Linked DNA regions of Canis lupus familiaris. The protein of the gene in region 2 purifies or fractionates together with the protein of the main gene of each other region. This does not show direct contact. Links are inferred from orthologs where the notes say so. Each region holds a gene or a part of one and is shown on either strand. Other genes may lie near its edges.

Evidence for each region. The genes of interacting proteins can lie anywhere in the genome.
Region 1: the proteins of MAP4K1 (region 2) and NUDC purify together in Homo sapiens (affinity purification with mass spectrometry; 3 studies listed by BioGRID and IntAct, with this or other methods). This does not show direct contact. The link is inferred for Canis lupus familiaris from reciprocal best matches to the Homo sapiens genes MAP4K1 and NUDC.

The regions. Positions count from the first base shown.
Region 1 is NC_049223.1:72,615,872-72,621,374, reverse strand, and holds the start of NUDC (nuclear migration protein nudC), read left to right. Parts: upstream 1-2,190; 5' UTR 2,191-2,322; coding exon 2,323-2,403; intron 2,404-4,506; coding exon 4,507-4,584; intron 4,585-5,503. UniProt on the Homo sapiens protein: Plays a role in neurogenesis and neuronal migration. Necessary for correct formation of mitotic spindles and chromosome separation during mitosis. Necessary for cytokinesis and cell proliferation.
Region 2 is NC_049222.1:115,278,697-115,283,414, forward strand, and holds part of MAP4K1 (mitogen-activated protein kinase kinase kinase kinase 1), read left to right. Parts: intron 1-449; coding exon 450-505; intron 506-591; coding exon 592-639; intron 640-810; coding exon 811-853; intron 854-938; coding exon 939-1,011; intron 1,012-1,581; coding exon 1,582-1,713; intron 1,714-2,140; coding exon 2,141-2,203; intron 2,204-2,301; coding exon 2,302-2,383; intron 2,384-2,784; coding exon 2,785-2,901; intron 2,902-3,129; coding exon 3,130-3,208; intron 3,209-3,751; coding exon 3,752-3,810; intron 3,811-3,886; coding exon 3,887-3,930; intron 3,931-4,010; coding exon 4,011-4,055; intron 4,056-4,718. UniProt on the Homo sapiens protein: Serine/threonine-protein kinase, which plays a role in the response to environmental stress. Appears to act upstream of the JUN N-terminal pathway.

The sequences.
Region 1 (5,503 bases), on a different chromosome or scaffold from region 2:
ATTTTTTATTGTGGTAAAAAATATATATGACATTAAGTTTACCATTTTAACCATTTTTAAGGATACAGTTCAGTGGTATTAGGTACATTCACATTGTTGTGCAACCATTGCCACCATCCATCTCGAGAACTTTTTCATCTTCCCAAAGCCATGTGAGTTGTGAGATACCTATCGGATCATTAAGTGGAGTTTCCAGGAGGTAGTCAGAAGAACCAGAAGCTTAGGTGAGCTCTGGGCCAGAGATATGAGATTACCTAAGGAGAAAGTGTAAGAAGGAAGAGGAGAGAGCAAAGGACAGAGCCACCAGCATTTTAGTAAATGTCTAGGTGGTGCAGGACACTAAGAGTGTTAGTGCAGTGGGAAGAAAACCAGGTCACTGTGGTAACACAGAAGCTCTATTGGGTTGCTAGAGCTGTATAATAAAATACCATAGACTCTGTGACTTCAACAGCATAAACTTAATTTCTCAGCTCAGGAGGCTGGAAGTCCAAGATCGAGGTGTTTGCTTTCTCCCACGTCCTCTCTTTGTCTTGTGGAAGGCTGCTACCCATGGCCTTTCCTCTGTGTACCTATGATTTCCTAGGGATCTCTCCCTCTTCTTGTAAGGACACTCTTTCATATGGGATTAGGGCCCCACATGCTTATGAATTAATTTCACCTTAATTACCTCTTTAAATGGCTCTTGGTCCAAAACGTCACATTGGGGGCTTCAACATATGAATTTCGGGGAACACAATTCCATCCAGATCAGAAGCCTAAAGAAAAAAAAAGTGTGTCTAGAAGAAGGGGCAAACTGTGTCAAATGCTGCTGAGAAGCTGAGGAAGATAATGGGGCATCCGGGTGGCTCAGTGGTTGAGTGTCTGTCTGTCTTTGGCTCAGGTGGTGATCCCTAGGTCCTGGGATCCAGTCCCACGTCAGGCTCCCCACAGGGAGCCTGATTCTCCCTCTACCTCTCTCTCTCTGTGTCTCTCATGAGTAAATAAATAAAATCTTAAGAAAAAAAAAAGAAGTTGAGGAAGATAATTGTGGTTCATGCGCTTTGGCATAAAAAAGTCATTGTACCCTTTGCTAGAGTCTTTTCAGAAAAGGAAAGATGTTAGGTAACAAAGTGGAGACATGTAATCTTTTCAAGTTTTGCTGTGAGAACTGAAAACCGGCGTGGTAGGAGGAGAAAAGCAGGGGTCACAGAATAATAAAAAAAGAAATAAGGGACATTAGAACAGCTTTGCAAATTGAAGGGAATGATCCAGAAGAAAGAAATCTGTGATGTAGGAAATTAAAAAAAGGATAAGGGGCGTGTCCCTGGGTGGCTCAGCGGTTTGGCGCTGCCTTCAGCCTAGGGTGTGATCCTGGAATCCCGGAATCGGGTCCCACATCGTGCTCCCTGCATGGGGCCTGCTTCTCCTTCTGCCTGTGTCTCTGCAGCTCTGTGTGTCTCTCATGGATAAATAAATATTTAAAAAAAAAAAGGATAATAACGAGGCTAGAATCCCTGAAAAGACTAAGATGATGAAATTCACTGCAAAAGTGGAGGGGTTGGCCATCTTTAGATGGCTGGGTTGTGTCCCCCACTAACGGGAGTGAAGGTGGAATACAGCAACCATTATGTAATTTGCAGAGCCCAGTACAAAACGTGCTGTTTCTTGTTCAAAAATTTAGATTTTCAGGACTGCATCAGAAGAACATTAAAGCCAAGCACGGAGCCCTTCCAAGACGGACGCCCGCGCGACCGTACGGTTTGTAATCCCACGAAGCTGGTTCTGGCGAGTATGCTGTGACGACGGAGGTAGGCTGTCCTTTGGGCCAGCCCCGGCTCCCTTCTGGGCCTGCACTGCCTCATGGTAGCGCTGGAGAAGAAGACGAGGGACACGTTCAGCCCCGCCCTTCTACAGGCTGGTAAGTCACTCTCAAGGAGGAGGCGCAGAGTTTGTCCCTTTTTAACTTCGAACCCGCCAGATTTGTAGCTCAGGGTTTTCTGGAAGGCTCCAAAGCATCTGGTGACCATAGCAACTCACGCCAAACTCCGGATCCCTTAGCTCCGCCCACCGCTTCCTGAACGGGTCCGTCGATTGGCTCAGCGGGCGGACCAATCGTGGGAGACGCGGGCTGTTTGCCGCGCGGTCAATGGTCGCGGGCCAGGAGGGAGGCGGGAAGAGAGGGCGGGAGGGCGGGACCGGCCGCGCGGCGCGTGCGTGTTTCCGGCTCCGCTGCGGAAGGCGGACGGCTGGAGCGGTTGGGCCGGACGCGACTCTAAGGAGCCGGGAGAACGCGGGACGCGAGCGCGGAGCTGGGCCCTCGGAGTGTGGCGAGAGGCCGGCGCGATGGGCGGAGAGCAGGAGGAGGAGCGGTTCGACGGCATGTTGCTGGCCATGGCGCAGCAGCACGAGGGCGGCGTGCAGGAGGTAACGGCCCGCGCGGCGTCGGCCTGGCCTGCTCCTACGGCGCTCGCCCGCCCGCGCGGCGCTGGCACGCTCCCTCCGCTTCCCTACCCTCGGGGGCCGAGATCCACCTCTGGGCCTCGCGGGTTCCTGGGATCCGCCTCCATCTCTGCGCGCCCCCAGCTTCCGGTCTGGCCTCCCCGCCGCCCTTAAGGCCTCAGTCGTTTCTGTGCTGGGCCCCCCGGCGCCACTCAGGAGTTCCTGTCTTAGCAACTCCTGCGTCTCCGAACGCGGCCCTGGAAAACCCGCAGCGCCCCCCTTATCCCGTCCCCCCCGCTCTCACACATGCTTCCGGCCTCGTATCCCTACTGATGGCCGCCCCCGAAGAGCAGTTCTTAGGATGAACCATCCCAGACTTTGGCATTTGCATCTACCAAGACCTGGACCGAGCTGACGAATGCTTGTGGGGGGGTGCGGGGGTGGGGCGGGGCGGAGTGATGTTAACACGTGGTCCTTTCAGGCCTAGAATGGGGAATAGGAAGCCTGGGTTCACCATTTATCTCCACCACCTACCAGTAAGGGGCCTTTCCATATCAGCAAGCCTCAGTTCCTTTTGTCTTTGAGGCAGCCACAAGTCTCTTCTGAGTAGTGAGGAGAGTAGTGTCTTGAAGTAAAGGACAGTAAGGAATTCACAATAAGCAGGTTTGTTCATTCAACAAATATTTGTTGAGTGATGTGTGTCAGATGCTCACCGGATTGGGTCCTGGGTGTATATGTGAGCAGAAGTCTATCCTTGCCCTGATGGAGCTTGGAAAGGCCCTTTCAAAAGCACAGTTCATGCGTACTGACCACACATAACACAAAGACGTACTGGTATAGATGCTGGAGTTGGTGTTTTGGACCAAAACCATGGAAAGTTAGAAGTAGAAAAGCCTATCAGGATCAGTTCCAAAACTCTAATTCTGAAGAGAAACTGAAGGAACTTGCCTCAGATCACCCAGCAGGTTCCTGAATTAGGACCAGATTCCTTAGGCCAGTGTGCTGGTTCTGTGTCTCACTGGGAGCAAGTTTTCTTTGAGCTTTCCATTCCCATTCTTTTAGCTGGGCACCGGTGGAGACCAAGGACTCTCAAGCCCTTTGAGGTGGGAAGAGTTACTACTTTGCTTTTGTGTAAAGTTTCCCTCTCCCATCCTCCTAAATTGTTGATCCCAAATAGGATTCGGAGTGAGTTCATTTTTGAATGAATCAAAAAATTATCTAGAAGTAGAAACTCAAACCATGAAGATAAAGTCTAGCATCAGAGTTAGAACCACTCATTTGGGCAAGTAAAAGGGCTTGTATATGCTAACTCTAGAACACCACTAGATCATTTCATTCAGCAGAAGATTTACTGAGCATATACACTGAGCCAGATCTGATGCCAGGCTTTGGGGATGTAGACAGAATAAGCCACAATTCATGGTACCTATGTGTGAATCGTTCACTCTGGCAGGAGGTCTCTTGCTCTGGGCCAGACATTGCTAAGGCCCTCACCTCCATTATCTCATTTAATTCTCACAAGATCCCTAGAAATAGGCTGGCTGCTATTTCTCTTTTAGAGTTAAGAAACTTCCCTAAGGTGACAGCTAATATATTATCAGTCTGATAATCAAACCCATGTGCTTAATTAACCACTTGGATACTTTACTGTACCAGCCAGAGTTAGTTGGTTTTAACCTTTGAAGTGGCTCCCCTCTTTCTGGCTCTGCCCTAGTAACTCAGCCATTGCCAGTCTGGATGGACTTTTCACTGTCTGGAAGGAAAGCTGGGCCTAGGTGTTTTAAGCCCTGGTTGCAGAGGAGTGTTCTGTATCTTTAGGCTGTTTCTAGAGCCACAAGGAATGTGAAACACAGGCACACATACACAGGAGATGGAAATCTGCCTTTCAGGCCACCTAAATCAGGTTAGGTTAGGCCTCCTAGTGGAGGTGACTAAAGTAGAGCCTGCTGGGGAGCCTGTCTTGTCCAATGAGAGGCTTAGGAGGAAACTACCAAGTTTCTGACTCCCTCCTGGACTAGGATCTGGTTTCTGGGCAGCTGAGGGCTCCCTGGGGGCATCTCCACAGCTTCAGTCTTCTCTGTTTTCCAGCTTGTGAACACTTTCTTCAGCTTCCTTCGACGCAAAACAGATTTTTTTGTTGGAGGAGAAGAGGGGATGGCAGAGAAGGTGAGTGTTGGGGCCTGCTGTCCCTTTGGAACCTGTTTCTTCATAAGGAAAGCACATGTAATCTTCCTTTGGCATTATAACAACCTTCAGTAAAAGTAAAATGCCAAGGGTAAAGAGTCAGGGAAAGGAAGCAAGCTGTCATGTATTGAAGCCCCTCTCCTTGCCAGGTACTTTATCTACTCCTATTTCCTGTGATCCTTTAGCAGCTTGAGAAGGCCAGGTGTTACTATTCCCATTTTGCAAATGAAATTGGCTCAAGGGGTGTTTGGCACTTTGTCCAAAGTCCTTTTTTTTTTTTAAGCTTTATTATTTGAGAGAGCGAGAGAGGGCGAGAGCATGTGCATTCATGCATGCACATGAGCTGGGTAGGAAGGGTAGAGGGAAAGGGAGTCTTGAGCAGAATGTGGAGCTTGACTTGACGCCAGGTTTGATCTCACAACCCTGAGATCACAACCTGAGCTGAAACCAAGAGTGGATACTTAACCAACTGTGCCACTCAGGGAGTAGGATTTTGTGTAAGATCTTGAGCTGAATTGTAGAAGAACCAGGGTTCAAACCAGAGTCTGTTGTCAAACTACCTTCTGCCCGACACCATGCTTCCTGGTTCCTTTTCCATTGAGGAAGTTTTATCTAATTACCTAGCTGGAGATGAGAGTGGAAATTGAGAGTGGAAATACAGGAAAACTTAAAATCATTTAATCCCAGTCTTCCCAGATACTGTGACCCAAAGTTCATAGATTTGGGGATTGCGTTTTGTGCTACAGGCTCTGAGACCTTGAACTTCCTTTTGATTCGTTAGGTTTTAATTATATTTTTGAAGATTGGTAAGTCATGAAAATGTTACCTCACTGAACAAATATTTTTAGGACCATAATGTTTGTTTTTACCTAAAGAGACATAGTAACAAGAAGGAGTTTTG
Region 2 (4,718 bases):
TTGCTGCTGCCTTCTCCGAGTAGAGTAGACTTCACCGACCACCCTATAAAATGTCATACCCCTTCCCACACATATTTCCTGTTGTTGTTTCTTGCTGTTTTAGTTCTTACTATTTATTAGCATCTTATGCCCTCTGCTTTAGTTGTCTTGTTTACCGTCTGTTGCCCCGACTGGAATGTTCTCTCCATGCGGGCAGAGACCGCTGTCTCTTGTCCACGGCTACCTCCCCAGTGCCCACAGCAGTGCCTGGCACCCAGTAGACACTGTGAATATCTGTTGAGTGAATCTCTCTCCCTCTGGTACCCTGCCTTGGTCGCTGACTGTCCCTCCATCTCCCCCTTGCACTTGTCCCATCTGTTCCCTGTCCCCGTGTGGCACCTTCTCAGCCTGTGTGTGGGGGAGCCAGGTTGCCTGTTTCCCACCCAACACTACTGCTGTGATCTTTGCAGTGACAGGCCCCCTGTCAGAGCTCCAGATTAGCTATGTCTGCCGGGAAGTGCTCCAGGTGAGGCGAGACCCGGTGGGCCTGGGGCGGGGTCCTGCTCCAGCCCCTGGGGACTCACAGCACCCCATGTCCACCCTCTCCCCTAGGGACTTGCCTATCTGCACTCACAGAAGAAGATACATCGGGACATCAAGGTGGTCTGGGGCAGCAAAGTGGCTTTGTTGGGGGGGGGGCAGGAGGTGGAAGTAGTGTTTGCAGGATTCAGGGTGGTGTTGAGCTGTGGGGTTGGGAAGGGCCAGGGTGTGGAGGCAGCGTCAGGCTGGGGGTGTCTCTGACAAGCTTCTGATTTCCCCCTCTTTCTCCAGGGAGCCAACATCCTCATCAATGATGCTGGGGAGGTCAGACTGGGTAAGTGTGATGGGGGGTGGGAGGGGACTGGCTGGGGGCCAAGGGGGTGGGGGCCCCAGGTCACTATATCTCTCTCTGCCTCTAGCCGACTTTGGTATCTCGGCCCAGATTGGGGCAACGCTGGCTCGACGCCTCTCTTTCATCGGGACGCCCTACTGGTGAGGGATGCCCGGTGGGCAGCTAGGGGTGCATGGGGGCAGTGGCCGTCCCCACCTGGGTCACCAGGACTCTCCTTCCCAGCTCCTTTCCCTGTGTCTGCCTCTCTGTTGAATATTCTGCTCACTTTTTGGCTCTCTCTCAAGTATTACATTTACCGAGGTCTCTTTGTGTTGGTTTTTATTCTGATTTTCTGTCTCTTGACCTCTGTGTGTCTTTTTTAAAAATTTTATTTATTTATTCATGAGAAATACAGAGGGGGGGGGGCAGAGACACCGGCGGAGGGAGAAGCAGGCTACCTGTGGGGAGCCCAATCCGGGACTTGATCCCCAAACCGGGGATCACACCCTGAGCCAAAGGCAGCTGCTCAACCACGGAGCCACCCAGGCGTCCCCGTGTGTCTGTCCTTATTGCTGTCTCTCTCTTCACCTTGATGTTTCTCTCAGCATCTGGTTCGCTCTCTGTCCCCTCCTCCTCTCTCTCTCTCCCTCCTGCCCCCACCTGCACGCCAAGGAGTCGCCCCCTTCCCCTCCTTGTGTCACCTCTGGCTCGCTGAGGGTCTCTGTCCCCAGGATGGCTCCAGAAGTGGCGGCTGTGGCCTTGAAGGGGGGATACAACGAGCTGTGTGACATCTGGTCCCTGGGCATCACGGCCATTGAACTAGCGGAGCTACAACCACCGCTCTTTGACGTGCACCCTCTCAGGTAGGCGGGCCTGACGAGCCCCCCCGCTGGGCCCAGAGACCTGCCCAGCCCTGACCCAGAGCACCCCCTGCCCCCACCTGCTTCCCTCACTTCGAGGCCCCCTCCAGGAGACACCCCGTCCTCACAGCGAAATCTGAGACCCTCCCTGCAAAGAACCTCTCAACCCAGAAAGCCTTTTCTTCAGGCCCCCCCAGTGGGAACCCCCAAGGCAGGATTCCTGATCTGGAGCCTCCCGTGGAGGTTGCTGCAGCTCTGTTGTGTGCTCCCCAGAAATGGCATCCCAGGGCCTTGTAAAACCTAAACCTCATTCTTGTTCTGTCCCTTGCTTGGCTCTCTGCTGACCTCAGTGCTATTGGGGACCCCTCAAGCCGTGAGGTCTGACCCCTGTTGGGAGTCTGAACACCATGTTCTCTCCTTACTCTTCTAGAGTTCTCTTCCTCATGACGAAGAGTGGCTACCAGCCTCCCAGGCTAAAAGAAAAAGGCAAATGGTAGGACAGGGCAAGGGAGGGCAGAGCCAGGATGGAGGGTCTGTCTGCTGGGAGAGTTTCTGGTCTCCTCACCTAGGATTTGGCTTCTTCCTCCCAAGGTCGGCTGCCTTCCACAACTTTGTCAAAGTCACCCTCACTAAGAACCCCAAGAAACGACCCTGTGCCACCAAGATGCTCAGTGTAAACCTCCCCTCCTTTCCCTGAAAGGCCCTTCCCAAACTCCCCGCCCTCTGCCCAGAATTCCCCAGGAACTCCCCAAGACTCTCCAAATTGTACCCCAGACCTTTGGCCAAGATACCCCGAGCTGTTAAAACTCAAAAATTTCCCAGGGTCTCCAGACCCATTCCTGGGTACGCTCTGAAATCCTGGGGAAGCCCCGTCTCCTCTAAGACACCTCAAAGTTCTCCATTTGCCCTTGCTGGGAACCCCAGATTCTTCTAATCCGTTCCAACCCCTTAAAATCCCCTAGTTTCCATTCCCCAGAGTTCCCTGCCTCTCCCTCAGTGGGCACCTTCCCCACCAGGTCCTTGAGCCCCTGTCCCAGCCTCTCCCCAACACCAGCCCCCTCCTCTCCTCTCTAGCATCAGCTGGTATCCCAGCCCAGGCTACATAGAGGCCTGATCCTAGATCTTCTTGACAAACTGAGGAATCCAGGGAAGGGGGCCTCTGTGGTCGAGATTGAAGATGAGGAGCCTGAGGTGAGGGTGCCCTGGCCGAGAAGGCGGGGGAACCTCCCAGCCCCTGCTCAAGCTGTAACCGCCCCCCCTCCCCCCACAGCCTGGAGTGCTTTCCTGCTGCTTCTCTTAAAAGGAAAAAGGGGAGGGGTGTAGGGGGGCTTGGCACAGGGCTACGGGCTCCCAGCTGGGCTCACAGGGTGGTAGGGGTGCCAGGGGGCCGTGGCCTGATGCCGCTGCTGCTCTGCCCAGGTGCCCCCTGCCGTCCCCCGGCGAATCCGGTCCACCCACCGATCCAGCTCTCTAGGGATCCCAGATGCCGATTGCTGTCGTGAGTAGAGATTCCTTAAGCTTGGAGATCCTTGACCATAAACTAGATCCAAGAGACGCACTCCACCCCCAGTGATTCTCCCAGAGACGCTCAGCACCATCTGATCTCACGATAGAGCCCCGAGACCCGCGTCACTTCCACACAGACCCTCAGAGACCCTTGTCACTCACTATCTGACCCTGCAAGAGACTCCAGAAAACCTCATCCTCACCTGAACTTCAAAATGGCTATAGAGAACCCCCCCCACTTCTCTGACCTGCAAACAGACCCCGTGAGACTTCCCATAACACCAGGACCCCCAAAGAGATCTCAGAAATCTCTGTCACACCCCCAGGATGGAACCATGAAGACAAACACTATGTAACTTTGAGCCCCCACCTCCCTGATCCCAAACCCTGACCCCCAGATGAGACCCCTGCAAACCAAGATCCTTCCCCCTGGGGGACAGCCTCGGTCCTAAGATCCTGACCCCGGGCCCCCCAAAGGCTCCTCTTTTCCCAGACCCATTGCCTCTGCTCACTGCGTCACCCTCCTCCCTTCCAGGGCGGCACATGGAGTTCCGGAAGCTCAGAGCAATGGAGTCCAGACCCATAACCCACACGGTGAGGTGCCTCCCTCTGCTGGCCCCAGATGCCCTCCCCTCCCCTTGGGCACTGCTGACCCTTTGCTATCCTGCAGGCCCACTTACAGCCCCCCGGAGACTTCCGGAGCAGCAGTCCCAGGTCAGGGACCCTCGGTGTGGCGGGGAGGGGTCTGGGTTTTGTGGGGGGAACCACCGATGGTCATGGGTGTCACTCCTCAGGAGGCACCTGTCGGAATCTGACGATGACTACGACGACGTGGACATGTAAGAGAGGCGTGGCCCCCAGCCCCGCTGGCCCTCATCCCCCCCCCCCCACCTTCCTACAACCACCGTCCCCTTCCATCCCGACCCCAACCTCAGCTCCTGTTTTCCCCTTGCCGCTCATCCCGGACCCCTGACTAGACCCTACAGCCTCCCCCTGCCCCCTCAACAGTCTTTCACCCCTCCCTGGCCCAGCCACTATTATCCCCCCAAGCCAACACCCCAGTTCCATCCCATCTGACCTCCGAACCCCCCACTACATCTCAGGCCCCCCACCACTCCCAGATGTTGCTCGGACCCCCAGACTTCCACTGCACCCCTAACCAGCAAAGCCCAGCCTTCATCCGCATCTTTCCCCCTGAGAACTTCCCCCATGCCAGACCCTCCACCGGAGACCCCACCTTGGCCCCAGCAGTCAGCCCCACCCCCAGGCCTGCATCAGCCTCACGCCCACCTGTTGGGTCTACACATCCAGCTGCAGTAGGCTCACAGGCCCTGCCCAGCACCAAGTGAGAACCTGCCCCGCCCCAGGGGAGCCCATGTGACCCGCATCACTAGGTGGCCACGACAGTTCAGGCCCGGCGTATTGTCCACACTTGATATCCAGCGCAGCTGTTGCCAGTATCATGAGTGCTCTAATCCTCAGCTCCAGCCCAGACCCAGTCA